7 linked regions of the Cricetulus griseus genome follow. The main gene of each other region encodes a partner of the protein of the gene in region 2 in a complex. Links are inferred from orthologs where the notes say so. Each region holds a gene or a part of one and is shown on either strand. Other genes may lie near its edges. The genes, in order: Med26, Med1, Rarb, Med25, Rxra, Med31 and Med21.

The links.
Region 1: Med1 (region 2) and Med26 share a complex: the UniProt entries of both Homo sapiens proteins name them as parts of the mediator complex. The link is inferred for Cricetulus griseus from reciprocal best matches to the Homo sapiens genes MED1 and MED26.
Region 3: the proteins of Med1 (region 2) and Rarb are in contact, whole or in part, in a crystal structure (PDB 1XDK), measured with the Mus musculus proteins. The link is inferred for Cricetulus griseus from reciprocal best matches to the Homo sapiens genes MED1 and RARB. Residues at the interface, in NP_001073587.1 of Mus musculus: His642, Pro643, Met644, Leu645, Met646, Leu648, Leu649, Lys650, Asp651; in NP_001276689.1 of Mus musculus: Ile264, Val267, Lys271, Phe276, Ile281, Gln284, Ile285, Leu288, Lys289, Pro435, Leu436, Glu439, Met440.
Region 4: Med1 (region 2) and Med25 share a complex: the UniProt entries of both Homo sapiens proteins name them as parts of the mediator complex. The link is inferred for Cricetulus griseus from reciprocal best matches to the Homo sapiens genes MED1 and MED25.
Region 5: the proteins of Med1 (region 2) and Rxra are in contact, whole or in part, in a crystal structure (PDB 1XDK), measured with the Mus musculus proteins. The link is inferred for Cricetulus griseus from reciprocal best matches to the Homo sapiens genes MED1 and RXRA. Residues at the interface, in NP_001073587.1 of Mus musculus: Asn641, His642, Pro643, Met644, Leu645, Met646, Leu648, Leu649, Lys650, Asp651; in NP_035435.1 of Mus musculus: Phe282, Val285, Lys289, Phe294, Leu299, Gln302, Val303, Leu306, Arg307, Thr454, Phe455, Glu458, Met459, Glu461, Ala462, Pro463.
Region 6: Med1 (region 2) and Med31 share a complex: the UniProt entries of both Homo sapiens proteins name them as parts of the mediator complex. The link is inferred for Cricetulus griseus from reciprocal best matches to the Homo sapiens genes MED1 and MED31.
Region 7: Med1 (region 2) and Med21 share a complex: the UniProt entries of both Homo sapiens proteins name them as parts of the mediator complex. The link is inferred for Cricetulus griseus from reciprocal best matches to the Homo sapiens genes MED1 and MED21.

The regions. Positions count from the first base shown.
Region 1 is NW_023276806.1:247,288,379-247,292,657, reverse strand, and holds the start of Med26 (mediator of RNA polymerase II transcription subunit 26), read left to right. Parts: upstream 1-1,245; 5' UTR 1,246-1,290; coding exon 1,291-1,362; intron 1,363-4,279. UniProt on the Homo sapiens protein: Component of the Mediator complex, a coactivator involved in the regulated transcription of nearly all RNA polymerase II-dependent genes.
Region 2 is NC_048600.1:111,292,480-111,296,314, reverse strand, and holds part of Med1 (mediator of RNA polymerase II transcription subunit 1), read left to right. Parts: intron 1-2,017; coding exon 2,018-2,107; intron 2,108-3,587; coding exon 3,588-3,699; intron 3,700-3,835. UniProt on the Homo sapiens protein: Component of the Mediator complex, a coactivator involved in the regulated transcription of nearly all RNA polymerase II-dependent genes.
Region 3 is NW_023276807.1:173,892,040-173,896,362, reverse strand, and holds the end of Rarb (retinoic acid receptor beta), read left to right. Parts: intron 1-338; coding exon 339-497; intron 498-2,242; coding exon 2,243-2,439; 3' UTR 2,440-3,655; downstream 3,656-4,323. Other genes in the region: Top2b (DNA topoisomerase 2-beta), read right to left, coding at 4,029-4,196. UniProt on the Homo sapiens protein: Receptor for retinoic acid. Retinoic acid receptors bind as heterodimers to their target response elements in response to their ligands, all-trans or 9-cis retinoic acid, and regulate gene expression in various biological processes.
Region 4 is NC_048599.1:153,725,419-153,729,954, reverse strand, and holds the start of Med25 (mediator of RNA polymerase II transcription subunit 25), read left to right. Parts: upstream 1-1,453; 5' UTR 1,454-1,522; coding exon 1,523-1,656; intron 1,657-1,735; coding exon 1,736-1,781; intron 1,782-1,893; coding exon 1,894-2,018; intron 2,019-4,536. UniProt on the Homo sapiens protein: Component of the Mediator complex, a coactivator involved in the regulated transcription of nearly all RNA polymerase II-dependent genes.
Region 5 is NC_048599.1:139,356,290-139,360,596, reverse strand, and holds the start of Rxra (retinoic acid receptor RXR-alpha), read right to left. Parts: upstream 2,866-4,307; 5' UTR 2,785-2,865; coding exon 2,757-2,784; intron 1-2,756. UniProt on the Homo sapiens protein: Receptor for retinoic acid that acts as a transcription factor.
Region 6 is NC_048600.1:86,054,476-86,058,849, reverse strand, and holds the start of Med31 (mediator of RNA polymerase II transcription subunit 31), read left to right. Parts: upstream 1-1,517; 5' UTR 1,518-1,659; coding exon 1,660-1,687; intron 1,688-2,683; coding exon 2,684-2,761; intron 2,762-3,032; coding exon 3,033-3,129; intron 3,130-4,374. Other genes in the region: uncharacterized protein C17orf100 homolog, read right to left, coding at 898-1,299. UniProt on the Homo sapiens protein: Component of the Mediator complex, a coactivator involved in the regulated transcription of nearly all RNA polymerase II-dependent genes.
Region 7 is NC_048601.1:3,053,273-3,056,993, reverse strand, and holds the end of Med21 (mediator of RNA polymerase II transcription subunit 21), read left to right. Parts: intron 1-176; coding exon 177-291; intron 292-1,626; coding exon 1,627-1,727; intron 1,728-2,497; coding exon 2,498-2,674; 3' UTR 2,675-2,958; downstream 2,959-3,721. UniProt on the Homo sapiens protein: Component of the Mediator complex, a coactivator involved in the regulated transcription of nearly all RNA polymerase II-dependent genes.

The sequences.
Region 1 (4,279 bases), on a different chromosome or scaffold from region 2:
ATCCCCCGATCCCGGCTAACCCTCAGAAGTATAACAAATTCAAAATTAACAGGGGTCGCCCAGCTCTCAGGAGCACATGTGGTTCCCATTACCTGTTTCCCTTCCGTTTCCAGTCTGGATCTTTAAGGTAACCTCGGAGCCCGCCGCCCGCCCGCCCGCCCTCCTCCCGTCATCTGCAGCGGAGCTCCGGGTCACCCAAAGACGGGGGGTCGGGAGCCCGACACTTAACATCTCGCTTCTCTTGGTGTGGCCTAAAACTCCAGGTGGTTCTGACGCTTGCTTTCCTGCTCGGTGGGGCGTTCCTGTTTTCCAGCACCTGAGATGCAAAGCCAACAGGAAGGGGCGGATGCCGGGCTGCAGCCCCGCCACCTCGGGCACGGCGGTCCCTCCGGCCGGCGACGCGAGCGGCGCTTCCTCCTGAGCGGGTCGCGCAGGCCCTGTCGGAGGCGGCGGTGCCCTTAGGTCCCCTCTGCGCGGGTCATACGGGGACACGCACTGCCCCGCAGACCCGCGCCTCCGGTTTCCACCGCGGCGGCGGCTGCGCAGAACTCTCCCGAGGTCCTCGCGGCGCGGGTCTCCTTGGCGTCGCTCCTGAGCCGGGTCCCAGCCCCCGGCTGCGGCCCTTCATCCGAGGGGAGGGTCCTCCTTCTCCGCACCCCCGAGGCAGCCCGGAGGAAGAGTCCAAGCTCCAAGACCCAGCGGGTGCGCTTCCGTTAGGAAGCTCCGCCCACCGGTTTTTCGGAGTGGGCGTGGCCTTTAGACAGCGTCCGTTGCCCCGCCCAACTGCCTCCCAACGGCTCTCTGGAACGGGCCATGGGGCGTGGCGACGCGACCTGATAAACGCGCGTGCGCGCGCATGCGCAGAGGCAACAGAAGCGGCTCACGAGCCGGCCCCTCCCAGAGCCAGAGTCTCCGCCCGCCCCCATCTCCCAACCTCCTCAGCGTGGCGCCGACGCTGCGTGCGGCGCGGGTTACCCAGAGTGCTCAGCGCGGGGGCAGCTCACTGGAGTTTGGTTCTCGAGGCGGCGGCGGCGACGGCGGCGGCGGCGGCTTCTCCGTCGGCTCCTCCTCCCCCCCTGCTCGCAGCAGCGGCGGCGGCCCGGGGCCCGAGCTCCGGTCCCCTCCGCTTCCCTCCGTCTTCCGCCATCTCCCCGAGCGCCCCGACCTCCTCCGGCGCCGCGGGGAACATGCGGCTCCGTTCCCGGAGGCTGGCGAGCGACTGACCCGCGTCCCCCCGCCCCAGCCCGCCCGCCCGCCGGCCCGGCCGCTCCCCCCCGCTTCGCCCAGGCAATGACAGCGGCTCCGGCGTCTCCGCAGCAGATGAGGGACCGGCTGCTGCAGGCCATCGACTCCCAGAGTAACGTAAGTGACTGCTTGGAGAACGGGGACCGAGGCCGCATGTGCCGGGACCCTCCCCCTCCGACGCGCCCCCGGCCTGGGGGCCTCTCCCGGCGGCGCCCTGCCCGCCACAGCCGTTGCCATCTCGGCCTCTCGTTCTCCCGGGTCCAGGGGCCGCGGGCAAGGCGGGCAGCCCGGCGACTCAGGGTACCTGAGGCCGAGGCTTCACGCGGCCTGGACTGAGGGATCGCTCGGAGCCGAAATCAGACCTGGTTCTCCTCGGTTGCCTCGGCCAGATTGTCCTTGGTGCTTTCCACCTTGCCTCCCTGTCTCTCTTCGACCCCGGGACTTGAGACCCCCCGGAAGGGTCTCCCTACGGGGGTCAAGGTGGGAAGCAACTAGTGTCCCCCGATGACTCTGGTAGCCCGCGTCTCCCTTCGGTCTTCTGGCTGAAATCGTCTTCTTGGGCTCGGAGAGAACCCTAGGCCCTCCTTGTCCCTAGTCTTGCTGCTTGGGATCCCTGGAGAGTTTCCCTTCTTTTCTGATACTGGACAGACCCCAGTTTAATCCCTCCAAGGGTCGCTACCTAGGAAAGACGACCCTGCAGAAGGTGGGATCCTTCCTGTCACCTTTCTTGGCCTAAATGTCCCATTGTGTGTCTGACAAGCCTGGGGTTTTGGTACTGAATTCCTGCTCATCACAGTCGATTGTTCTCTCGCCCCTATTCTGGTCTTCTTTCCATCTCTCTTGCCCCACCTGAGGGACTCGGCCTGGTGTTTGGTCTCTAGGCTGTCAAGAGTTAACTGTATGGGGTCACTTTATGTCACATTTCCCTCTGCTAAGCGTCCTATGAGCAGAGGGACACCCTTTCTTCCTGTGTGAGCATAGGCTAATCTCACCTGTTGTGTTTTTTCCAAAGGTTTGTTGGCAGTGTAGGGAGGGGGTGAGGGTCTTTGTTCCTGGAAGCAGCAGGGCCATGAGAAGATGCACAAGCATCCAGGTATGAAGTGTTTGCTGGGAGACCAGGAAGTGGCCTTTGAGATCACTTTTTAATATGCTCAGGATGGAAAGAAAAATCATCTTGGGCTTGGCCAGGTAACTGAGGTTTGAGCAGGGAGCTCTTTTGGTTCCCTTACTTGTGCTTGGCTTGTTACTCTTAGTAATGTGCCATATTCTGGTGTGTTCCAAGAAATTCACATTAGTTGTGCAGTCTTGGTAGAAATGGAGGTTTCCTGATCTCTGGAAGAATCTGCTTGCCAGATTCAAAGTAAATCTCTTCTTCCTGATCTTGAGGCCCTATTAAGATCACCTTGATACTGATTTAGCCAATATTTTAGACATTTTTGGTGGGTGGAGTAAGGACAGGCTAGATAAAATCTTCTAAAAAGTCTTTTTTTTTTAAATGTTTTTTAAAACAGTGACTGATATTACTGCAATTACATGATTGAGATATTAAAAGATACAAACAAGTGATGTGAAAAATGTAACCTCAGTGGCTTTTGCATGTTTTCTGAAGCTACAATGTACACAGTGGATTTTTTTTTTTTTTTTTTTTTTTTTTTTTTTTTTTGAGACACGGTTTCTCTACCTGTAGACCAGGCTGGCCTCAAACTCACAGAGATCCACCTGCCTCTGCCTCCCAAGTGCTGGGATTAAAGTTGTGCGACACCACTGCCAGCATCCACAGTGTAATTCTTAAGTCCTGTATGTTGACTCGTGAGAAATCACCAGGGATCCTGACTGCTGCCTGTGAGAGTGCTGGGATCAGCTAGTGCTTTGATAGGCAGTAATGATGCTTCGCTTCAGGTGGGGCAGCCTTGCGGGTAAGGCTCTGACTAAAGGATTCTTTTGGGGGTAAAAGAAGGAAGATAGAGGACTCAAATTTTAGTGTGTGAGTGTGTGTGTGTGTGTGTGTGTGTGTGTGTGTGTGTGTGTGTGTGTATTAAGACAGAGCCTCTGGAACATACTATGTCCTTTGCCTTCCGAGTATTGGGATTAAAGGCGTGGGCCACAGTGCCTGGTCCCCAAACCTTTGCTTTTTGAATCTTACCTTGGGCCTAAGTGTTAATATACTCCTTCACCTGTGGGTAAGTTACTTGGAGTGGAGTGTGTATCTCAAAGGGCTATAGGGATAAGTGACCTCATTGTGATGGCTAGAGTTGAGAACTTGTCTCTTAATGAGGAGGGAAGTTTTTCTCTAAATGCAGTGTATCAGTAACTATTCATGAACACTGTCATGTGCTGGCTTTGCAGGACCTCTTTGTAGAACTCAGCCTGGAGGACTGTCCTTGATTTCTTCCAGAGGCATTGAAGGGTACTTTTTCTGGATTGTTCAGGGCCCAAGTAAGAGCTGTGTGCTGGCACAGGGCTCTGCTCTGCCCAGTTATGAGCTCTACCACTTGGTAATTGACACATATTTAAGATGTTCATGGAAAAAAATACAAAATGGGGACACAGTTGAAGAGCTTACACTAAAATTAACCCTCTTGAGAGAAAGTGACAGAGATTGGTGTCATGTAATGCTTACCTTTATGAGTGCAATCATAGCTAACAAATTTAGCTGTTGCTTGGAAAGTCAGTGCCAGGCAGCTGACCTACTGTCCACAGTCTCTGAAATTGGGAGCAGCTCCTTGACCAAGGAGGTCTCTAGAGGAAGGCCAGCTCTGCTGTGTGTTCTAGCTTCTGAGCAGCAAGCACTGTCCTTTCTGCCAGGCCTGTACTTCAGGAAGTCCCCCCTCCCTTCCAAAAGGCCGCTAATGGACTTCCAGAATTGTGGAAGTTTCAGTCACCTCTGTGTGTGTTAGTTCAGGGAGTCAACAGTCTCTAATGTATACTGCACATCTGCTTGTAGTCTTGTGTTATGAATAAAGGTGAGGGGTATGATTTATTCTTTCAAAGACATCATAGTGAGTCCCTCTTTGGCCAGTGACAGGGTTCTTAG
Region 2 (3,835 bases):
CTGAGATCCCAACTCGGGTGCACATGCTAGGCAACAGGCACTCTTACCCACTGAGCCATTTCCAGCACCCTTACTACCCTTTTATTGTTCTTTTGCAGTGATGGGAATGAAAACCAAGCTTTGTGCATGCTAGGCCAGGTATTCCACTCAGCCCCAAGGAGATATTTTAATTTTGCTTTGAGCTTGTGAAGACATAAGCTAAAGGAGACAATGACCAGTAATTTGAAATAACTTCTAAGATGTTAATACTTGCTGTCTCCCTTTTTTTGTGTGAAATATGTTGTTGTTCCTGAATCAGTAATCTTTTATTATATTCCATGAGAAACATGACTTTTCACATCTTTGCAACTCTGGTATTTTATTACATGAACTTTCTCTTTTTCTCGTGTGTGCATGCATGTTCTATTAAGAATGTGGAGGTCAGAGGACAATTAATGGGAGTGTCCTTCCACTATGTAGGTCTCTGGGAACTCAGGTAGTCAGACTTTATGCAAATGTCTTTACCTGCTGAGCTATTTCACTGACCTTATATACACTTATAGAAATGTGGTTTTTGTCTTTTTTTGAGACAGGGTTTCTTTCTGTAGCCTTGTCTATGCTGAAAATTGCTCTGTATACCAGGCTGGCCTAGAATTTACAAAGATCTGTCTGTCTCTGCCTCTTGTGCTGGGATTAAAGGTGTACATCACCAAGCCTGGCAATCTTTTTTTTTTTTTTTTTTTTTTAATAAAGACAAGGTCTCTTGTCTCTTGTAGTTGAGGCTGGTCTTGATCTTATTATGTGCATGTGGTCTTGAACTTCTGATTCTCTTGCTTCCTAGAGTATTTATCATTCTGCCTTTTTTGGGGCGAGGGAAGTTTAGAGACAGGGTTTCTCTGTGTATTTCTGTAGTCCAGGCTAGCCACCTGTCTCTGCTTCTGCTTCCCAAGTTTTCGGATTAAAGGCATTTACCTTTGTTTGTTTTTGTTTGTTTGTTTGTTTATGCAAATGGGTATTATGCTTGTACTATGCATGACATGCTCATAGAGGCCAGAAGAGGAGTTGAATTCCCCTGGAACTCAATTACAGATGGTTGTGAGCCCACTATATGGATGCTGCAAGTTGAACCTTGGGAGAATAGCTAGGGGTCCTGACTGTTGAGGCATCTTTCCATAGATTGAGTTGTATGCCGTGCTGGGACTCAAACCTTTGGGTGTGCTAGGCAAATTATCAACAGCACTACATTTTTTTTTTAATTTTTTAGATTTTTATTTATTTATTATGTATACAGTCTTCTGCCTGCATGCCAGCAGAGGGTACCAGATCTCATTCAAGGTGGTTTGTAATCCACCATGTGGTTGCCGGGAATTGAACTCAGGACCCTCTGGAAGAGCAGTCAGTGTTCTTAACCTATGAGCCATCTCTCCAGCCCCGATTTTTTTTTTAGGTTGAATCAGGATCTCACTATCTTCCAAGTGGATCTTTTTTTTTTTTTTTTTAGATTAATTTTTATGTATACAGTGTTCTGTCTGCATGTATGTCAAACACCAGAAGAGCCAGATGTCATTGTAGATGGTTGTGAGCCACCATGTGGTTGCTGGGAATTGAACTCAGGTCCTCTGGAAGAGCAGGCAGTGTTCTTAAGCTCTGAGCCATCTCTCCAGCCCCCCAAGTGGATCTTGAACTCACTATATGTCATAGTCTGGCATTGAATTTTTTGTATTCCTCCTATACCCTAGGCTAATGTGAGCCACCACAGTCAGCATTTGTGTGTATATAGATGTTTTAGTAGAAGTAATAAGGATTTCATTGAACTCAGGGCCCTTCATATTATAGGTAAGCACTCTATCACTGAGCTATCCCCAGATTTTTCTTGTTAGTTTGAGATCAGATTTCATATAGCCAAGACTCCTTAGCTTCTTGTTTTCTCTTCCAAGTGCCTAGATTATAGGTGAGCACCACCACAACTGTTAATGAATGCTTTTTTAAATGTATAATTTATTAATAAAAGTGCCTTAATGAGTTTAATTTATGATAGGTCATTTAATGAACATAAAATACTATGCATCTCCTTCTGACCTGCTGGATGATAAGACTGCATCTCCTATCATTTTGCATGAAAAGAATGGTAAGTGTTTGTTTTTTTTTTTTGTACTTTGATACAGATCTCTTTATGTAACCTAGGCTGACCTGGAACTACCTATGTAATACAGGCTAGCTCTCAAATGTATTGTATAGTGATCATACATACCACTTCAGCCTTCCGAGAACTGAGGTCATACATATAAACTACCATACACAAGACAGGGTGACCTCTACCTCTTCAGTGTTGTGATTATAGGCATACACCACCACGCTCAGATTTCTCCATTGTGTTAAAAATATTTGTTTCTCTGTATTGCTTTGGAGCCTGTCCTGGAACTTGCTCTGTAGACCAGGCTGGCTTTGAACTCACAGAGATCCTGCCTGCACTACCAAAGCCTGGCTTAATTTGGTATTCCTTAATAAATATGTTATCCTTTTAATATGTTCCAGATACAACACATACATATATCATATGCACCTCACATATATACATGTATATTATATACTTAAGTCTTTAAACATATGCAAGTAGCTCAATGCATAAATGAGTTAGTGATGAAATATAAATAACCACTTAAAATAACCAGCTTTCCTTAATACTTTAAAAGAGAAAGCCGTGTTTGTGACATGCTCCATGCCAGCATGGACCAGGCAGAAGAACCTGATTTGAAGGCCAGCCTAAGCTATGGAATGCTTAAACAAACAAACAAACAAATAAATGTGACCATTTGGTTTTGGTATTTTGAGGCAGGATGTCATGTAGTCACAACTGGGAGGGGCAGGGGGTCAACTTGCCTCAGACTTGTTATTTAACTGATGATGAAACTGGAACTTTGGTTCCTCTTGGCTCCTGGATTTACACCACCACCACACCTGGCTTGTGTTTGGACTAATATAGCAAAGGAGCAGAAGAAATAGCCCCCTAATTTATTTGACCCCATTATAACTTCAGTGATAGACTATCCTGTAATTATAAGCCCATTTAAATACATTGTGAAGTTGTGAATGAATATAAGCATTGATAATGAGCTCTTGAAAATCCCCCCACCTTCTCCAGGGCTATAGGAATTTAATCATTAGCAGAAAGAAATATTGATTGGCTATGGAAAGGTAGCTTGTAGTATTTTTATTTTATTATTATTATTATTATTATTATTATTATTATTATTATTATTTTTGGTTTTTTCGAGACAGGGTTTCTCTGCGGCTTTGGAGCCTGTCCTGGAACTTGCATTTAGTTGTTTTGTTTCTTTTGGCCTCATTCACTGTGTAGCCCCTAATGATGTCTGCCTTTTTTTTCCTTCTTGTTACTTACTGTACTTTGTTCTACTTTTGAGAGTTGGTCCAATCTTGTAGTTCAGGCAGGCCTCTAACTCATCATTTTTCCTCCCTTGTTCTCCAGAATGCTGGGTTCACAGACTCAGGACCCTCATTCCTATCTGTTGTTTTGTTTCTTTTAGCGGTGTGATCCTTGTGATCTATGTTATGAGGAAGAAAATATTTTTTTCTTTTGTTTTTCCCAGTTCCTCGATCTTTGGGCATGAATGCATCAGTGACAATTGAAGGAACCTCTGCTATGTACAAACTCCCAATTGCCCCATTAATTATGGGGTCACATCCAGTTGACAACAAATGGTAAGTTAAATATGAATTTAAAGTAGTGAAGTCCATTTTTTCAGAATTAGGGCTCTTGAATTTCTATATGTTGCCCTTTTATTTCCATCTAGTAATTACTCTGTTATCTATATTTGAATGTTACTATTTGACATCT
Region 3 (4,323 bases), on a different chromosome or scaffold from region 2:
CCAACATTAGTTTAAAAGTAATGGCTGTAATTAAGGGGTAGGTTTTTCTACCTGGCTTTCATAGCCAGCCTGCCCAATGTGCTTTTTTGTTCAGTTCAATACTGACACCATCTGGTCATGAAGGGAATTCTTGACTCTGAACCAGATCAAGTGGGCATCAAAATATGCTTAACGAAAGAACAACTATCACCGCTTAAAGCAATTGCATTTATTCAGGTTAGTGTGCGACTGAGTCACTAAATAAAGCCACTGTACAGGAGGAATGGGAAAGAAGGGGATGGGCAGTAGTCCTTCAGCCTTGGGTCACTAAAGAGTGAATACTTTCTCCTGCTATCCAGACCGCCAGGACCTTGAGGAACCAACAAAAGTAGACAAGCTCCAAGAACCACTGCTGGAAGCACTAAAGATTTACATTAGAAAACGTCGGCCCAGCAAGCCCCACATGTTTCCAAAGATCTTAATGAAAATCACAGATCTCCGCAGCATCAGCGCTAAAGGTATGTCTTCAAGGACAGAGGGGAGGGCAGAGCTTTGCCAGCTTTGCTTTTTAAAAGCCATGCTTTAATCTTAGGAGTCTCCTGACTGCCTAAGTTGGAACGTCTGCCCCACAGAAATCAAAAGGAGCTAAGAATCATCTGAGCACCCATATGTGCACACGGTTAAAGAGTTCCTCAGGGTTCTTTAAGAAGACTCTTGACATTGTCTCTGGCCTGAGATTAAGAGAAGCAGAAAGCAGATACCACTACCCCGTGATACTAAGAGATTATTCAGTTTTCAAATGGGATGGCTAGTTAGAAGAGCAACTCTTCTAGACAGTGTATTAACTTTTTAAATAATTATTGTTGGGGCTTGTATGCATGCCCTTGGAAGTTAAGAGACAATTATGTGGAGTTCCTTCTCTTTCCATCTCTACATTCATTCTAGGGTACCAAGTCAACTAGCTTGCACAGCCAGCTCTTCGCCCTCTAAGCCATTTTGCCATTTCTTCATAGTGTATTTAATTTTGAGTGTATGCATTTCATACTCAGATTTCTATTACACTTGTCCTGTTTTTCCTTTGCATCCTAATCCCTAGAAACAAATGAGTAAGACTTGGGGGTCACCGTGGCTGCAGCTCTGGTGTAGGCAAGTTAACTACTGTAATTCTGTGTAAAGGAATTCTTGCCTGGTTGAGAGATATAAATAGTCTCACCTCATGATTCTCACTCTATGTGGCAACTCAGGCAATTATACAAATGCCTAGAGCCATCTCACAGCTGAGTGCAGAGGGCTTTTCTATGTAGAGATGACTCAGCAACTATTCCTTGTGCCAGCTATGCTATTAACTGTCATTAGCAGACTCCATACCTGAGGATCTCGGCAAGCCATGACACACATGCTCCATTTCAGAAGGTCGTAAATGCACAAAGTGAACTTGTCCAGTGATAAATTCTAAGTTTATCCCAGCATGGGTTTAAGAGAAACAAAAAAAAGAGACCAATGCTTGAGTGGAGTAATTATGTATGTATGTATGTATGTATGTATGTATGTATGTATGTTTGTAAATAGGGCTGTTAACATCACTCTCCATAGATGCCACTGATCTGAGGACTAATAACCATGAATAGAAATCTCCCAAGTACCATATTAACAGAGTCCATAAAAACCCTAGCCACATGTTTCTGAAGCAGTTTTCCTGTTATTTATAACCAGCTGCATGAAGGGCTGTGGGATCTGTGATGGCATAGAAGCATCCTGTTCTGGACTGGATTGCAGAAAACCACTACACGTTGGGGACTCAAGTCCATCCTTCCATTGTGGAAACCACCCATCCCTTCACCTATATTTTCTGACCTTTCATCAGGAACTTCTCTTTGTAAATTTATGGAGTCTGACTGAAGCACTGCAACTATCTAATCTGCACATTACACATTTCTACAGCTTTTCCTTAAAGTGAAAATGAACCAAACTCAGCCAGCCTCTGGAGTACTGTTAGTACATATTCTGTATTCAAAGGGAGTGTTGGATCAGCCTCCACCTCAAAATCAATCTGATTGGGATCTCAAAGCACACCTGACACTGACATTCTGGTGGCCCACATTCCCACTGTAAATACCTTTATATTTTTACTTCTAATAAACAGGTTCTTTTCACAAAGACCTGTATTTCACAACCCTTTCACACACCCCTGAAGGTGAATGTTGGTTCCTTCATATCTATCCGACCACGTATCTAACAAGTTTTCTATTATCTTTCAAAAAAGGTGCAGAACGTGTAATTACCTTGAAAATGGAAATTCCTGGATCAATGCCACCTCTCATTCAGGAAATGCTGGAGAATTCTGAAGGACATGAACCCTTGACCCCAAGTTCAAGTGGGAACACAGCAGAGCACAGTCCCAGTGTCTCACCCAGCTCAGTGGAGAACAGTGGAGTCAGTCAGTCACCACTGCTGCAGTGAGACACTACCAGCTACTGCAGACATTCCCCAGGACCTTCAGTTCCGAAGTGAAAATGCAAGGAAAACATTTTTACTGCTGCTTAGTTTTTGGACTGAAATATGTTAAACTCCAAAAGGACCAAGAAGTTTTCATATGTATCAATATATATTCCTTACTGTGTAACTTGCCTAGAAATACAAACTTTTCAAATTCTGAAATTCAGCCATTTCATGCCACCAGAAACTAGTTAAGAGCTTCTATTTTCCTCTCTGAACAGTCAAGATGCATGGCAAAGACCCAGTTGAGATGATTTAGCCCTGGTTAAGTTTCTGAAGACTTTGTACATACAGAAGTATGGCTTTGTTCTTTCTATCCTGTACGTTGGTGCTTTCTTTTGTCTTGCAAACTCAATAACCAAGACACCAAGGTTATGGAGCAGACTACTGTACATCACTGTACATCTTGCTTTCATGAATAACAAGGCCTCATGGTAAGGAACCAGGACCTTTGTACAGTACAGGATAAGACTAAAGACGCTCTGGTTTAAGTAATGTGGAAGCTTCTCCTTGCTTTTTGATGCTCAAGCTGCATCCTTTCTTTTGTGTTGCCCAGATAGAATATACCACTTCACTGCACTAGCAGAAGAGAATTCTGTATCAGTGTAACTGCCAGTTCAGTTAATCAAATGTCATTTGTTCAATTGTTAATGTCACTTTAAATTAAAAGTGGTGTATTCCTTAATGACACAACTACCGAATGAAAAAAAGATGCATTTTTACAGTCATGATAGCCTCCAAGGCAAAAACACTGTCCAGTGTTAGTAAGTTTGTTTACCTGTTCACAAGCCATTGGAGAGATATCACAGGATAATCAGCAGGCTAGTCTGCCTGGACTCTAGTAGCCCAGTGTCCTTCCTGACTCACGCCTGATCCTGGGATTTCCCCCAGTCTTGATGCTTGAAGGTATAGGCAAGTGGCCTCTTCTGGCCTTGTTCAATCACTATGACGCAGAGTGACAGCTGTGGTAGAGTGGTTGACAGACTCAAGTGTCAGGTTCTGAGTTCTCATGTAAGCACTAGTGGAATTTTTTGTTTTTGATATATTAGCAAAAGTCTGTGATGTACTTTCACTGGCTCTGTTTGTACATTGAGATGGTTTAACAGTGCTTTCTATGTTCATATACTGTTTACCTTTTTCCATGGAGTCTCCTGGCAAAGAATAAATATATTTATTTTAATTGTGTGTGGGAACTTTTACTATGGTTTCACCTTCAGTAAAGAGTCTGAGAACACAGTTCCATTTTTAATGTTTAAATTTCATTTCAAAAAGCAGGTCTGTAGTCTGCAATCATGACAATTAAAATCTGTGCTAATGCACGGTAATCTATAACAATTCTACAAGCCAATCAGACAACACATGACATTTCAATGAGTAAAAAAGAGCATAAAACTGTATGTGTAAGAACAAAATGTTAAAAGGCCTACCACAATAATAAAAAACCATCAATTACATCATCACATTAAAATAAGCCAGATGTACAAAATTCTGAGACAGAAAAGACAAAGGACAACACAAGATATTTTTGAAAAATGTTCGTGCTCTTTGGGCACTTAATTAAACATTGCAAAATCAACATCTTCTTCTTCATCAGATTCTGCAAAATATTTTACTTCTTTCCTAGCCCGACCAGTCCGTGGCAGAGCAGGTGGTTCAGAAGTGAAGTCTGAGGGAAAGATGTCTACATCTGAATCCTGATCAAAAGATGTTTTCTTCGGTTTCTAGACCCCCCCCCAAAAAATACAAAAGATTAAAAATCCCGAAGTTAAGGAAAGCCTATGGTTAAGAACTAGTTATTCCTTATACTTACACTTATGGTGTATTGCCAATAATCAATCATACTTTAAA
Region 4 (4,536 bases), on a different chromosome or scaffold from region 2:
ACATCTCTCCAGCCCATGGAGAAATGTTTTAGTTGTTAAGAGCACTTTCTGTTTGCGCTTTTAAAGGAACTAAGTTCAGTATTCAGCACCCACATGACAGCTCACAGTCTCCTTTAACTCTTAATTCTATCTTCTGATCTCCATGAGTACTACAAGCATGTGGCATTTAAGTACATGCAGAGAGATATTCATGTACATAAAGCAAAAATAAACCTTAAAAAACAAAAAGCTGATTGTGACAACATCCACAGAGAAACTCTGTTTCGGGGGTGGAGTGGGGTGAAGAAAACAAAACAAAAAAATAAAAATAAAAAACAAACAAAACTCCATCAAAAACCAGGAGCTGGGAAAATGATACAACGCAAGCATGAGAACCGAAGTTCAGATTTCCCAACACTCACATTTTAAAATGTGTTTGTATCTTTCTCTTTTTTTGTTGTTGTTTGCTTGTTTTGTTTTTTCAAAACGGAGGAGTTTCTCTGCGGAGCCTTGACTATTCTGCTATTCTGGAGCTCACTCTGTAGATCAGGCTGGCCTGGAACTCAGAGATCCGCCTCTCTCTGCCTCCTGAGCGCTGGGATTAAAGACGTGTGCCACCGACGCCTGGTTCAGCTCTTTTCCTAATCTTTTCTCTGTTTTCCTTTTTTGAGACAAGTTTTCTCTGTACAGCCATGTCTGTCCTGATACTCGCTGTAGACTTGGCTGGCCTCAAACTCAGAGATCTGCTTGTGTCCACTGTGCTGGGATTCAAGGATTCAAGGCTCCAGCACCCCTCTGTCCACACATGTTACAGTAATTTTCCAGGTCATTTTATATTCATGACGTTGGCTGCAATGCCGAGTGACTCATTTATTTATTTATTTGTTTATCTGTTTATTAGGAATGTATTTGCTTTGAACCAGTTACTGGCTTCTTTCTCAGAAAACAGGGATCAGGTGTTGCTTAGCAACCTCCACTTAAGTTGGAATTCGCTTCTTTCTGAGCGAAAACAACTGCCCTGGTTTCCAAGTCGTCTGCAACGTTACAGTGTTGCCTGGCAACGCCGTTTCCGAAGATGTGATTGGACCGCTCTCTCCCATCTGTTCCCTGTGAGAAAGACTAGAATTTATTAACTTAATCTCCGTGTGAGAACACAACGGCTGGGTACGCGTTGCCTAGCAACCTGGCTCCACAAACTTCCCCCTTCAGCTCCGAGTCGGAAACTGGAGGCCGACTCCAAGATGGTGACCGGATATGCCGTTTTCCGATTTATTTCGTGCTTGATGTTGTGGACAAAAGTTTGTTAGTTCTCAAGAGTCCCCCAGAGGGGTTTGTGGTGCCCGTTCTGATAATTTCCTGGTGTGGGAATCGCCAGGGTAGAGATAAAACCACCACTCCCCGGATGCCCCGCACAAACATGGCCGCGTTAGCTTCAGCGGAGGTTGCCAGACGTCCGGCGCGGGTGAGCGCATCACGCAGGCGCACTTCTGTTCGTCCCGGGACCGCAACGGCAGCTGCGGCGCTGGCGGCGGCGGCGCGGGGCATGGTCCCCGGATCCGAGGGCCCGGCTCGGGCCGGGGGCCTGGTGGCCGACGTGGTGTTTGTGATCGAGGGAACAGCAAACCTGGGGCCGTACTTCGATGAGCTCCGCGACCACTACCTTCTGCCCGCCATAGAGTGAGTGAGGGCCCTCGTCGTCTCCCTCCGCCCTGACCTGCGGCTCGCACGGACGCTGCATTTCCTCCTGTCTTCGCAGGTACTTCAACGGGGGACCACCCGCAGAGACGGACTTCGGTGGAGACGTGAGTCTGTGGCCGCGGCACGGGGAGGAGGCTGGGTGTGGACCTGGTCTGAGGTTGGGAGGCCCTGTTCCAAAGACCTCCGTTTTAAAGTTCTTTTGTCCTGTCCTCTCAGTATGGTGGAACCCAGTACAGCCTTGTGGTGTTCAACACAGTGGACTGCGCCCCAGAGTCCTACGTACAATGTCATGCTCCTACCAGCAGCGCCTATGAGTTTGTCACTTGGCTCAATGGCATCAAGTGAGCTTTTCCTTCATTTTGGGCAGATTGGGGACCCCAGCAGAACTCAGCGTGGGTCTGTGCGAGTCTGTCTTGTTCCAAGCAAGAATGGGCTACCCAGGCAGTGGGATCCCTGGGTACAGACCACCACAGCCTGCTAGGGTGTGAGTGTCTGCAATTACTGCTTGCCCTGTTCTTGTGCTTGGTTTGCAAATGAGTAGCAGTGTAGACTGCTGGGTGCAGGAAGGGTCTCTGAAGCTAATCTTTTCATGTGGAATCCACAATCTAGTTGTGGTCAAGGGTCATTTGACAGTGCTGATCTAGTCCCAACCGGTTCTTAACCGTCCTGACTTGGTGAAGCAGGTGTGCTTTGAATGCCTGCTGTGTTCCGGTTTTTTTTTTTTTTTTTTTTTTTTTTTTGTGTGTGTTGTGTGTGTGTGTGTGTGTGTGTGTGTGTGTGCATGCACTCCACTTGGAGATTGTCTGGACTGGGAATTTATGTAAAGCATGGCTTCCCATGCTAGCCATTGTTGACACTTAGCACTCAAGTTTTGTTAAGAAGACTGGTTTATTTTTGTTTAACTTGTGCAAGTGTTTTGCATCCATGCATGCCTGTTTACCTCTTGTGTGTCTGGTGCCCTTGGAGGCCAAAAGAGGGTATCAGATCCTTTGGAACTGGAGTTAAACAGTGTGAGCTGCCATTTTGGTGCTGGGAATACAACCTGGGCCCTCTGGAGGAGCAGCCAGTGTGGTTTCTTTCTTTTTTTTTTTTTTTGGTTTTTCGAGACTGGGTTTCTCTGTGTGGCTTTGGAGCCTATCCTGGCACTCGCTCTGGAGACCAGGCTGGCCTTGAATTCACAGAGAGCCACCTGCCTCTGCATCCTGAGTGCTGGGGTTAAAGGCGTGTGCCACCAACGCCTGGCTGCAGCCAGTGTTCTTTAAGATTTTTATTTATATTGCCAGGCTGCAGTAGTGCACGCCTTTCTTCCCAGCACTCAGAAGTCAGAGGCTGGTGGATCTCAGTGAGTTTGAGGCCAGCTAGAGGGCAGATGGCACCTTAGTTAAGAACTGCTGGGCTAGATTGAAGTGAGACTTGAGTAACAACCATCTGGAGTTCTGTGAAGCCCCAAGGTCCACACTGCTGCATGTCAGGGTTGGTGTATGTGAGGCCTCTCTCACATTTGGTTAGGCGTGAGTCTGAGGGCCAGTGCCAGCCAACTCAGTTCTATTGAACTCCTGATTGGCTGTTAAGTCTCCTGTGTCCATTTCTGTGCAGGGAACTTGTGTGACTTTTCTTATGAGCCAATTGTCCTCTGCTACCTGTCACTGCCTCTGCTTCTGGACCTCAGTGGAAGTCCAGTACCTGCTGTTCCTCCTCTAGACTGCTTCCAAGTAGGGTTTTGCTCCTACAAGGCTTAAGGAGAAATCTGTGTAAACAATGAGTGATGGCTGCTTGAAAGCTCCTCAAAGACACCGGACCTTCCTGGTGCAGACTGCAGGAAGAGTGGCCCTCCCTTAGGAAAAAGGCTGACTATGGGTACTTGAAGATAAAAGGGAGATACTGTCTGGACTGCACTGTGTTCCCCACTTGTACACTTAAAATCCTGTAGCTACAAGTGTCCCCAGTTTGGAGGCCTCTGCTACTGTTAGGTAGTTCAGCATTGTTTTACTCTCCCAGGGTCACTGTTCTGACCAAGGGCCGTGACCCATGTCCAGGATGCTCTGGGCAGGACTGGAATGGAAATGAGAGTCAGCAGGACTTGTCCCTGCTTGAGAACACTCTCCTTCTGCTGTTGATGATGGTGCTTGGAGACAAGGTGCACAGTACAATTAGGACACAGCCTTGCTCTGGGCTTGTTTGTTTATTTTGTTTTGATTTTTGATTTTTTTTAAGACAGGGTTTCCCTGTGTAGTTTTGGAGCCTCTGAGTGCTGAGATTAAAGGTGTGTGCCACTGCCACCTGGCTGAGTTCTTTTTCTTTTCTTCCTTTTTTTTTAAATTATAAGTCCCATTTTATTTTTCCAAGGTGTTTTTCCTTCTGTCTTCATGAAGCCACCTCTTTACATGGGCTTTGGTGGCGGTCGTGGTGCAGCACCAGCAGGTGTGGTGGGGGTGTTTGGTCCTTCCGGGCTTCACGAGATGGATTCCTGACTACCTTACTATGACTAGCACAGCTCACACAGGAATGTAGCCTGACATTTGGGAAGCACATAAGCATTGAAGACACTTACTTCGGATATGTCCCTGACAGCAACGGCCTCTACAATGTTCTGAATGACGAACTTTTTTTTTTTAATTTATTTATTTTTATTTTATGTGCATTGGTGTTTTGCCATGGGTGTTGGGTCCCCTGGAACTGGAATTACAGACAGTTGTGAGCTGCCATGTGGGTGCTGGGAATTGAACTCAGGTCCTCTGGAAGAGCAGTCAGTGCTCTTAACCACTGAGCCATCTCTCCAGCCCAGTGATGAATTTCTTAATGGCCTTGTCCTTGGGCACGCACGGGGCGCAGTTTGTGCAGTGAATTGGCTGCACATGG
Region 5 (4,307 bases), on a different chromosome or scaffold from region 2:
GTGGGCCTAGCTCTCTGAGCCCACATCTGAGACAAATGCTTGTGCCCAGCACAACACAGTACCAGCCCAAAAGAGAATACAGGCAGACAAGGCCACTACCACAGTCAGACCACCAACAGGGGGTCACTTTTTCTCACCCTAACACTTCCTCAGTCAACAACAGAGTCCCCTCCAGAGTTTCCCAAAACAAATGCCCAAATCAGTAGGCAGCTGGGGGCCTAACCGTGAACTGCCTCGTCAGGCCCAAGCTGGACTCCAAGCCCAGCCTCCTGAGAGTCATGTGACCCTGTTATTTCGGGACGACCGGAATGTGCTCTATTTTGGGTCACAAGGGCTCCAATGTTACTAAAAGCCCCCTCACACAGGCCCCAAGTTCACTAGATCCCCAAGAACCACACAAGAGGGTGGTTGGAGGCCTAGAGCCCCACTTCTGGAAACCTGTTACCCTCACATACAAATGAGCCACACAGCTGAGAGGGTCAGTGCAGGCTTGGGACCTTTGGACTCTGCAGGCTCAGCCTTACAGTCCCACCATCCAAGCTGAGGCCAGGCTGAGCCCTTACCCCACTCCCCAACTCCAGCCCTGGGCAGCAAAGCCAGGAAACAGGGACTGCCTGGGGCAAATTCCCCATCCTCCCTTTCTTCTCAGATCTGTCCCATACAGATCAACTCAGTGGAGAGAGGCTCAGAGGCTATCTGAACCACCAAACCCCACACAGTGCACACTGGGAAGAGCCCTCAGTCTCAGACCCCAAAAGTGGCAGGGTAGTGAAAAAAGGACGGCCAAATCTTCCCAGCCACTTCAAGTCAAACCTAAGTTGTCAGTGGGGACCCTGGATGAGCCAGATCCTCTGACACTCAGCCCCCAGGAGGGATTAGGCTGTGTTGACAAAAGGGCTTAGGCAAGTAGCTGCTTAAATGGACCTTCAACTGCACTGGACTTCAGAGCTGGTCACAAGCTTAGTAAAAAATAAAATGTATTCAGAGCCCAGGACTCACCACTCAGCCCTGGGGCACAAGCTGCCTGGGAGGCCACAAGCTGGTCCTGAGAGCCACCACTCTGTGAACCCAAGACTCTGGGTCTCCTTGTGGGGGGACAACAGCTCCAAGACACAACTCCTCTTGTTGAAGACTCTAGCCCAGTCACCCTGCAACTGTATGTGTCAACTTCTAGAATGGGCTCTGTCCCTCCTGGCATGTTGTTTCCCATCCCTGGATCTAGGCAAAGTATTGCCAGGCCCTAGCCATGATCCAGGCCAGAGACTAAGCAAAGCATTCCTGTCCTAAGGACCCAGCTCTGAACACATAAAGGCTTGGGTGGAGGAGAAAGAGGTGTCTCAGGGGTCCCACCAACCCCACATCAGGCCCCACAGCAACATGCCACAGTAATACAGCTTTCTTGTCAGTGGACTTTGGCAGGGGGCTCCAACGCCAAATCCACCATTTACAGTCTCTAAGTGCGGCCTCTCCAAGCCAGTTTCTCAACTACAACATGGACAGAGTTTACACCCTGGGAGCCAGACCCTCAAGCTCAGCTGAGCCCCCATGGTCTTCAGCACCGCTCATAAGGACGAAGTGTCTGAAGCTTTGACAAACTTGGAACACTCTATCAAAGTCACTCTGCAGCAGACCTGTCTGGGAGCTGTAAGAAGGCTGGGGCCAAGGGGGTGCCACCTCCCCAAATCACCAAAAATCCTGGAAGCCATGCTGGGTTCTGATCACCCCTAGGGGTAGCAAAACTGCACCCCAAGCTTCATAGGGGATGGCCAAGCAAAGAGGCACTGATCATCATGGAGCTTCGTCCATAATCAGCTGTCCTGATTTCCATTCAGCACAAATTCTTCATCAGCCTGACAGCCTGGCTGCTGTCCTCACCACCAAATTAATATCCTTCCCAGAGCTCATTTATAAAGTCTCTCTACACTGTTTCCCTCTGGCTCCCAAAATCCCTGCGAGAGCAATGGATTGGGGGGCTCCGACCCTGCTGGGTTCCACTCCCGGAGTTGGCAGGCTGACGGTCACTGAGAGCTGCTGGCGGGAGGGCAGCAAGACAAGAAAACGGACTCTTCTGCCTATGGGCTGTTCTCCCCCCCTAAATACCAGGGAGAACAACTAGGGGTGCCAGAGCGTGGGGCCCCAGTTCTGGGTTTGATGCTCCTCATCAGAGGCCCCTGGGTGACCATGCCCACCTAGGTTTGGGCTGCTGTCGGGGAACGGCAAGATCGCAGACTCCGTCTGGGCCAACAGACACCCAGGGGCCAGCGGCCTGCTCCAAACAGCAGCCCGACGAGCCCGGAGGAGCAGTGGCCTCCCGGAGCCCAGCGCGTCGCCCCCATCCCAGTGCCAAGGAGGCCCGGAGCCCTCCAGCAAGCGCAGAAGTTGCTCCTCCGGCGTGGCCGGATTCTGGGCGGCTGAGGCTGGGCGCCCCGGGGTTCTGCGGACGCGCTACGCGCACCGTGAGGGACCCCTCTCCACGTCTTGAGCGAACCTGCCGCTCGCCCCAGCCCCGCCGCCCACTCCCGCTCCCCGACAAGTCAGAGGCCCGGTGCCCTCGCCCTCTCCCGCCGCGAGCCCGGGCCCGGGAAAAGTTGCCCTGTGCCCACTCGCCTCCCCGGGCCCGGCGCGCCAACTCTCGGTACCGCCACAGCGCGGGGCCCAGCGGGCCTGGCCGGACCCCCCACGCGCGCTGCGCACGCGCCCCCGCCCCGCCAGCCCCGGCCCCCTCCCTCGCCCGCGCCGCCGCGGCCGGCACTCACCGAGCGGCAGGAAATGTTTGGTGTCCATGTCTGCGACTAACTTCCCGGCTGGCGGCGGAGCAGCAGGGCGACAGCGCAGCGGCCCCCGGCCGGCCGGCCCGGCCCGGCGGCGGGGCGGCGGGCAGCGGCGGCGGCGGCGGCGCGCGGAGGCCGCGGCGCGGCGAGTTGTTGCAAAAGTCGCCCAACAATGTAAACTACTTGTGCCTGCGCGCGCCCGGCGCGCGTGTCCGCCGCCCGCGCCTCCGCCGCGCGCCGCGACCCGCTCCGGCCCGGCCTGCAGCGGGGGGGAGCGGCGGGGGGCCCGCGACGGGCGCGGACTCGGCGCAGCGCCGCCGCCGCCACTCGCCCCGCCCGCAGCCGGTGCGCGCCCCGCCCGCCGCTGTCGCCGCCGCCCCGCGCTCGCCGCCCGGCCCCGAGTTGTGAGCGTCCTGCAAACTTGCAAGTTTGCGTCTGCCAGGGGTTCCCGGGAGCCGTGGGGCGGCGGCGTGGGAGGAGGGCGGGGCGGCCGGCTGAAGCAGCCTTCCCTCCCCGGCTGCCCAAAATCCCCGCGGCCCGTGGTGGAGGAGGAGGAGAGCGGGGCCAAGAGGAGAGCTCAGCGGCCGGGCCATTGTCTGCGCGGACACACAAAGAGGCCAGCCGTGGTCGCTCGGGGACCATGGTCTGGCAGGGCTCCCTAAAGGAGAGCTGAGGCCCCGTGCACCCCAAGGGACACATGGGGAAACTGAGGCCGGGGAGGGGTGATGAGCCAGAGGCAAGCAGCTGGGCAGGGGGATGCCCCAGTGCCCTCCCACTTACACGCGGGAGGCCCAGAGAGAACCATGGTATCTGACCGACCGAAGGCCAGACCCGGGGCGGGGGGGGGGGGCGTCCGCGTACCGGTGTTACCCCGACGGCCCCAGCCCTCTTCTGAGGTGCGGGGTTCGAGAGGCGCTGCGGCCCGCTTCGGACATCGCCCAGTGGCCCCAGGCTATTTATATACCTTGGGCAGCTCTCTGCCCTGACTTTTAAATTCATGATTTGTTTGTTTTAAAACGAAAGGAAGCACTCCTACCCAGAGAGAGCCTGGGCCTCCTCCGCAACCCGCCCGCCGTCTTGGGCGGCTGGAATTCGGATTTGGGTGTGAGCTACCTGAGCAGAGCCAAGCCAGCCTCCCTAAGCGCACTGTGTCCCTGAGCCAAGCCAGGCAACCGGCAGTCCCGCCTCCCTCCACTCCCAGCTGGTGCCTGCCAGACCAACATCCAGCGTGGAGGCCCTGGCAGAGGGGCTTACCAAAGTCCACAGGCACATCGTGGGTGCTGCCCAAAGAAAGCACCTCCTCTCCAGACAAAAAAGGAAAGCCCTGCCTGGGTGCGCTACTGCCGCCCTCCAGAACTGCACTTTTTCTTCGAAGCATCCCAGAAGGTCTATAGAACTGTCCCAGAGGAAGGCCAGCCCTGTGGGGTCTGGGGAACCTGTCCTTCCAGGGCAAGAGAGAAGAAAAAGCAAAATAGGGGCACTAAATGTCCTGGGCTGTCTACAAACCAACTCCTCTTCCCAGGCCTGTCCCATCAC
Region 6 (4,374 bases), about 25 Mb from region 2:
CGCACTCCCCTCCAGTTCCTGGTATGGCTCACTGTTCACCCACACAATTAGCAAGGCTCTTCCTGACGGTATTCTCTAGAGAAACTTCCCTGTTCTCTACCAGATACCTTTTCCTTCACATGAGCACAAGAGACCTTAGCTTTCCCCTTTGTTTCTGCCTCTTCACTACAGGGAGATCTTAGTCTTCTCCACTGTTATCGCTGACATGCTCTGACTAGTACCTAGCACACAGTAGGTACTCAGTAACCATCCTCTGTCAGCCTCACCCTTCAGGTCAGGTGCCAATGGCTTTCTTTTCACTTTCCCTTCTTAGCATATTTTTTATTAATTGACTTGCCTTTTTTTCCCCAACACCCCCTGACCTATTTAAAAAATAATAAAAGCCTGTATGTGGAGTACTGTGTATAAAAACTTAACATAGGAAAGCTTATTATGAAATACAAATAAAGGTCAATTAATAATCCATGAAAGATGATTCTTTGTTCTATTGGTTTCAAGCACTATATAATCAAGCCAGTGGTCATGAATTCATGACAAGTTTGGTCCTTCTTCGCAAATTTCAAGTGGTCAAACCATTCTAGAGGGACCTCAGGCTACGAAACTTACCTGGTGCAGAGACTCAAAGAGCCTCTTTGTCCATCATCAGCCGAGTATATACGCACCGCAAGTCTGAAGCCCTTCTGTGCTGGCTTCGAGTTAAATAGTACACTGGGTCAACAGCAGGGTGGTCTAAGGTGATGCAATCTCAATACATGTTGGCAGCACCCAGAAACCACAGCCTGTTTCTTACATTGATTTACAGGCTGTTTCCATGAAACCAAAGATGCTTGGCTCTCCTGGAAGCTGGCTGGCTGGCAAATGGAAACACTTCAGTGCTGGCTAAGGGCCATGGCCACTTCATCGGGTCATTTTGGCACTCTGGCGAGCTGTTTGCTTGTCCCTCCTGGCTGGGCTCTCTACACGGTGCACAGTCGTCTCCACCCGCAGGGATGACGACGCCCTGACGTGGCTGGAGGACGTCTCCGTGCACTGCGAGGAGGTTTCCACGTGCTGGGAGGATACCTCGAGGAATCTAGGGAGTCGCTTCGCGGAGGAGGTCAGGGAGGGTCCCTCTCGGTGGCGCTGAGAGGTCTCCACCTGACGAGAAGACGTTCGAACCTGCCGGGAGGACGTCTCCACGCGGTGGGATGACGTTTCCTCGCGGTGGGACGACGTCTCCACGCGGATAGTCGACGTTTCCTTTTGGCGGGTGCTTTCCACTCGCGGGGCGAAGGATTTACTCCTAAGGGGCGAGGCCATCCTGCTGGCACACCCAGGTCAGAAGGGACACAGAGGCCCAAGACTCATGCTCTGTGTCACGTCACACAAGGGACGGTGACGTCAGGGTGATGAGCTACGTCAGTGTAGGCTGCTGCGGGCCACATAGGATCTGCGAGCAACGAGCTCTTCCAGCACGCGCCGCTAGATAATTGCTCAGGCTGCCGGCCCAGACCACACAGATAGGCGGGGCCTCTCTCCTCAGAAGGAGGCTGTCTCCGCCCTCGCGTCCCACATGCCCCGCGACCGGAAATAAGAGCCGTGGCTTCCGGATCCTCCCTCACCATTTGAAGCCGCGGTTGGGTCGGGCTGGTTGTGTTCGCGTCTCTCTCCTCTCTGGTTATGGCCGCGGCCGTCGCTATGGAGACAGGTTCGTGGTGTCGTGCTCCTGGAGTCTTCACCGAGGGAACGGGTCCTCCCCCCTTCTCTCCGGTTTCCCCGCGCCGTCTTTCGGGCTTAACCCGGCATCCTTAAGGAGTTGGGATCGGTGGGGGAGAAGGCGGTGTTGTCTCTGATTGTGGCCTGTGTGAACGACATCTTTGCTCCTGGGCTGCTCACACCTCCACTCCCTGGCTCGCGGGCCGGGGTGGGACTGAGGGAGAGGACCGAGCCCTTCAATTGTCTGCTCTATGGAGCTTTTCCCGTGAACTTGCTTGAAATGTTTGTAACGTGTATGGTTCTGATACGGATTACCGTCTCCTCCCCGCTGTTTAATCATTTTGCATCTTGCTTCCTGCTTTTATTTAGCACTTTGTTTTTGTTTAACTTAATCACTGTTAGTAGTTGTGGTTGTAACGCTAACATTGGGGGTGGCACAGCTATTACAGACCAACCAGTGATCTCTGTTACCATCCTCCCATAGTGGCCTTAAATAGCCGTTTCGTTTATTTTTCTCAACTAACTTTAGGTAATTTATTATCTTTGTTTTGTTTTGAAGACAGGGTCTCACTATGTACTACTGCCTAGCCTGGAACTGGCTATGTATACCAGGCTGGCCTGGAATTCACAGAGATCCTCCTGCCTCCCCCTTACAAGAACTGGGATTAAAGGCATGCACCACTCGGCTTGTTTTGTTTTAAACCAGGCTCCACTCTGAGATTTCTAAGGAAATCTCTCCTGCAGTTTGGTATTTGTTTCATAAATTCATTCCTATGGGGGTGGGCGGTGCATGCCGAGGTCAGAGGACAACTTGCAGGAGTCTACTGTTCCTGCAACCCTGCGGGTTCCAGGGATGGAGCTCAGGTCATCAGACTTTTCTGTGAGCACCTTTACATGCTGAGCAGTCTCACTGGCAGTTTGTTTTTGTTTCTACAAATCATTGGTATCGTGACTTTTATTTTGGGTGTCTTTTACTTTTTTCTCCTAGATGATGCTGGAAATCGACTTCGGTTTCAGTTGGAGTTGGAATTTGTGCAATGTTTAGCCAACCCAAATTACCTTAATTGTAAGTCGAGTACATCATTAAGTTGAGTAGCTAGCTGTTAATGATTTCTGACAGAAGAGATGGAATTCATAATAGTATTTACTTCGGTATGTTTGAATGGGATTTTACTTTCGATGGTCTGTAGTTATTAACTGAGCAAACAAGGACTTGTGTTTTTTAATTCCTTGTGTTTTGATGGTAGGAATGTTAAAAGAGCTACTTTATTGTAGCGATTACAAGTCAGTAGTCCAGCAGTTGGTTGACATACAGATTGTTTCTTTATGCCTTTCAGTTCTTGCCCAAAGAGGTTACTTCAAAGACAAAGCTTTTGTAAATTATCTTAAGTACTTGCTTTACTGGAAAGAACCAGAATATGCCAAGTATCTAAAGTAAGTTTAATTTTTATAATCTTAAATCTGTGTATACTTTATTATAAATACGAAGTGCTTATATTTAGCAGTTTTCTCGGTGTCAGAATGGCAAACTATGTTTTGAATTTTTCTGCTTTTAGTTCATGTCATGTCATTGTCATTTCTAATTTGAATTGTTACAGTAATCTCACTTATTTCTGCTGTCATTCTTACCTCACTCCCTTCAAACCAAACAAAGCCAAACAGTTGTCTGTCAAAACCAATTTACTGTCTTAGTAGTATAAATCAGAACATGCCACTTCTATTCATGTAGGATAAAATCCAGTAACTAGTTTTAGAGTAAGACTCTGATTTGATTTGGTCTGTCTGAACTTGTCATTTAGCATTCCCCTTGTCTCTCTGGGTTTCTAATGCCTTCCAACCTATAAACTACTAAAATGTAGTGGTATAGCCATAAGCTGAAAATGAACATATAAGAAGTGGTGTTTTCTGGGAGTCTTAGACTTACTGTCTTCTTTATAGTTTCCTATGTGTCAAGTACTGTGCTAAATGTATCGTGCACATTAACTCACTGTAAACAAAAGAAAGACAAACATGAACACTGTCAAGTTGTTTGATAGACAATTGTGAGAAACATCACAACTACACAGCTATCCCTTTGAATGGTAAAACAAAACCTTGAACTCACCCCTCTGCTTTGTCTTAATTAAAAAAGAAAAACAAGCTGGTACACACCTTTAATCCCAGCATTTGAGAGGTAGAGGTGGAGGTGGATAGATCTCTGAGTTCAAGGCCAGCCTGGTGTACAAAGCTACTTCCAGGACAGCTAGGGCTACACAGGTAAACCCTGTCTTGAACTCCCCCTCCCCTAAAAGGGTGGACAACAACAACAACAACAAACCCAGAAATTTTAGCCTGATGCCCCTTTAATCCCTGCTCTCAGGAAGATCCGGCAGATCCCGGTGAGTTTTAGGCCAGCTTAGTTATGTAGCAAGTTTCAGGCCAGTCAAGGCTACATAGACCCTATCTTAAAAATTAGAGGGAAACATTTCAAGCCTTTTCTTTATATCCTAGTCACTTTTCTGAATTGATCCTGGACTGCCTGTAGAACAGATTGCACCGGATTTGCTCTTTATGATGCAATTATTGATTCCTTTAGGAATCTGAAGGAGAGACTTTTAAGTTATTAGGCTGTTATAACAGTGCTAGCAGATTTACAGACTGGGTATTAAAAGCCTTAGTCACCTTCAATTCAAGTTCAGT
Region 7 (3,721 bases), on a different chromosome or scaffold from region 2:
GATTAGTGTATGAACTCCATTGTTTGTAATAACTGGCTCATTTTATCTAAAAATATTCCTTTCTGTGAGTTTGCTTAGAGATCATTATTATGAAGAAATTGTTGCCATATCTCATAAAATCCATAAAATTGACAACTCTTTTTGTAACCTTGATTTTTTTTCTTTTTTTTTTCAAGCTTGCAGATCAGTTTTGTAACGCCATTGGAGTATTACAGCAATGTGGTCCTCCTGCCTCTTTTAGTAACATTCAAACAGCAATTAATAAAGACCAACCCGCCAATCCCACAGAAGGTGAGGTCTCCTTAGTTTGACTAACATTCCTTCTACAATTTATAGCTCCTTTGTAAAACTGTGACTGTGGTTGAAGTGCATTGCTCTATGTTTTTCCATAAATGATTTTTTAGCATTTATTTACTTGGTGTGTATGTGGGCAGGCCTGCTATAGTATGCTTATAAGAGGTCATAGGTTCCAGACCTGTTCTCTCCTTTCACCATGTGGATTCTGGGGATCACACTGTGGTCCTTAGACTTGGTAGCAATGTGGGAGGTCCTTCTGTATGCTATGAATAAGTGTTGCTTTTTTTGGTTGATGAATAAAGCTGTTTTGGCCAGTGACCAGGCAGAATATAACTAGGTGGGAAATCCAAACAAAGATGCAGAGAGAGGGGGCCGGAGAGATGGCTCAGAGGTTAGGAGTACTGGCTGCTCTTCCAGTGGTCCTGAGTTCAATTCCCAGCAATCACATGATGGCTCATAACCATTTGTAATGAGGCATGCCAGAACACTGTATACATAATAAGTAAATAAATCTTAAATGATACATAGATTAGTAAAAATGGGTTAATTTATATGTAAAAAGCCTGGCATTGGTAGCACACGCCTTTAATCCTAGCACTGGGGAGGCAGAGGCAGGTACATCTCTATGAGTTCAAAGCCAACCTGGTCTACAGAGCCAGTTCCAGGATAGCCTTCAAAGCAATACAGAGAAACCCAGTCTCAAGAAAGAAAGAAAGAAAAGGAAGGAAGGAAGGAAGGAAAAGAAAGGAAAGAAAGGCCAGTAAGAAGTCTGAGTTATCAGCCAAACAATTATAAACTGGCGGGTGAGACAGAAAACATGCAACTACATGCCCTTATCTGCAAAGCTATCTCATTGGTCAAGGAATGAGTTTATCAGCTCAATTCATGTGCCTCATGATTCTATTCACTTCAATAAAAGATTGTTACTCCCTTAGAGGAGAGCTTATGAAGACTGAATTTCTGTTTCACCTGGTCCCCCAGCCCTTTAGTCCCAAATAAACACATTGAGGCTTATATTAATTATAAACTGTATAGATTGAACTGAGTTTTGCTTGTATGACCTTAGTAAAAAAAAGGATCTCATTTATGGGTTCATTTGCTCAAGGTACCAAAATGTTGTCCTAGTATATAAAATGACATTCTATGCTAATTCCCAGTTTGAATTAATGTTAAGGGTATAAATAGTACTGATATACTAAAATTATACTTTCACCATTAGGATTATATTAGAAAGCTGAACTTTTCTAGTTTTATTAATTTATAATTTGTGCTTGTGAAAATGTAAGGTTTTGCTAATTTAACTTAATGTTGTTTTTTTTTTTTTTTCAGAGTATGCCCAGCTTTTTGCAGCACTGATTGCACGAACAGCGAAAGATATTGATGTTTTGATAGATTCCTTACCCAGCGAAGAGTCGACAGCTGCTTTACAGGTGAAAACTCCTTTCTTTTCATAAAAGTAGTAGTGATAGAGAACTTTGAATTAAAGGAGGTATGGCATTCAAATTAGGACTAAAGTTTAATTGGAAGGTATTTTGGGTTTTGTTTGATTGTGGTTGGTTTTTTGCTTGTTTTGTGGTCAAATCTAGGGTCTCACATAGCAGGCAAACACTCTATAATTGTGAACTAAAACAGCCTCTGAAGATTGTGCTGAATAGTTGTCCAGTTTTGACCTAAAAGATCAGATCATGTGTATTCGAGGCAGTATTGACACTGAGCAATTTAATCTTAGGCAGAAGTCTCCTAATGCCCTTACTGAAAGTGGAGCAAAGTAACGTCTACAAGCAATGTACAAGCAAACACCTATATATTCTGATTGAAAATTAGTCTTCAGGGCTGGAGAGATGGCTCAGAGGTTAAGAGCACTGACTGTTCTTCCAGAGGTCCTGAGTTCAATTCCTAGCAACCACATGGTGGCTCACACAATCTGTAATGAGATCTGGTGCCCTCTTCTGACCTGCAGGGATACATGCAGGCAGAACACTGTATACATAATGAATACATGCATCTTTTTAAAAAAAAAGAAAGAAAGAAAATTAGTCTTCTAATAAGTCATAGAGAAAAATTAAATAGGTATTTAGAATTATCTGTTACTAAAGATAAAAAAATGATTGGAAAACCATTCTGATTTTAAAATAAATACTTGTACTTTAGTTTCTCTGCATTTCATCTCTGAGCATATTAAAATTCATGTCTTATGAAGGCTGCTAGCTTATATAAGCTAGAAGAAGAAAATCATGAAGCTGCTACATGTCTGGAGGATGTTGTTTATCGGGGAGACATGCTTCTGGAAAAGATCCAAAGTGCGCTTGCCGACATTGCACAGTCACAACTGAAGACCAGAAGTGTCACCCGTAGCCAGTCGCTTCCAGATTCCTAGCAACAACAGAAACAGGTGACTGAGAAAATAACTGTTTGAAGGGCACTAAGAATACCGCCTCAGATATGGGCTTAAGTCCCTCCAACAGCTGGGGGGCATCATACGCTGTGACTGTTTCCTTTTTTACTAGTTTTCACTCTCGATATTAAAAAGCTTTAAGATTGCGATTGCAATTGAGTCATCCTCAAACATCATGTCATTTTTTTATCTATCTGACTAGAATTTTCAAGGTAGATACTGTACTAATGTTCATGCTATAATTAAAAAGCTATACAATACAGCTCTCTGATGTTTTGCATGTGTTGTTTTTCTTGTTTTGTGCAGTACAGAATGGAATCCAGGCCTTGTGTATGCTAGGTAAGCACTTTGTCACTAGGCCATATTCCCCGGTTCTGACAGACATTGTATGATTGCAGCCCATCCACAGGTCAGCATAGCCTTAAAGGCCATGATATGGGACATTTCAATTTAGATAGTGTCCCCCTCCTTAAAGATGGCACCATGTAAGTTTATATCTTTGAGCAAAAGTTTCTGAAAGTCTTTTTAAGAAACTATTAGAGCAGATAGGAAATAGACAGTCACCTGAAAGCTTTCTTCTTCAGAGTGTCACACATTCTAGTGTAACACAATTAATAAAAACCCAGAGACTGATATTGGGGTTCAAGCTGAAGATCAGAGAAAGTAGCCGGCCACTAGCTCTCACCTCTACCTCAGGTGAAAGGGCTGATCCTCGAGCTCCCCACCAAGCCTCAGACTGCCGCCTCTCCTCACTGAGGATAGAGAATAAATCTCCAGATGAGGCCCTTTGCTTTTTCCTTTTGTACCTCCTCAGTGCTGGGATTTAAGGTATGTGATCCCAAGTGGTGAGATCACCTTTGTGTGAGCTGTACCTCTTTAGGACTGGGTCAAATTCATGTATCTCAGTGTGGCCTTGAGCAAACAGAGATCCATCTGCCTGTCTCCTGAGTCCTGGGATTAAAGGGCGTGCCACCCCTTTCTGGTTCTATGGCTTGTGGCTGACTTTGCTTTCTGTCTCCTCAGGCAAGC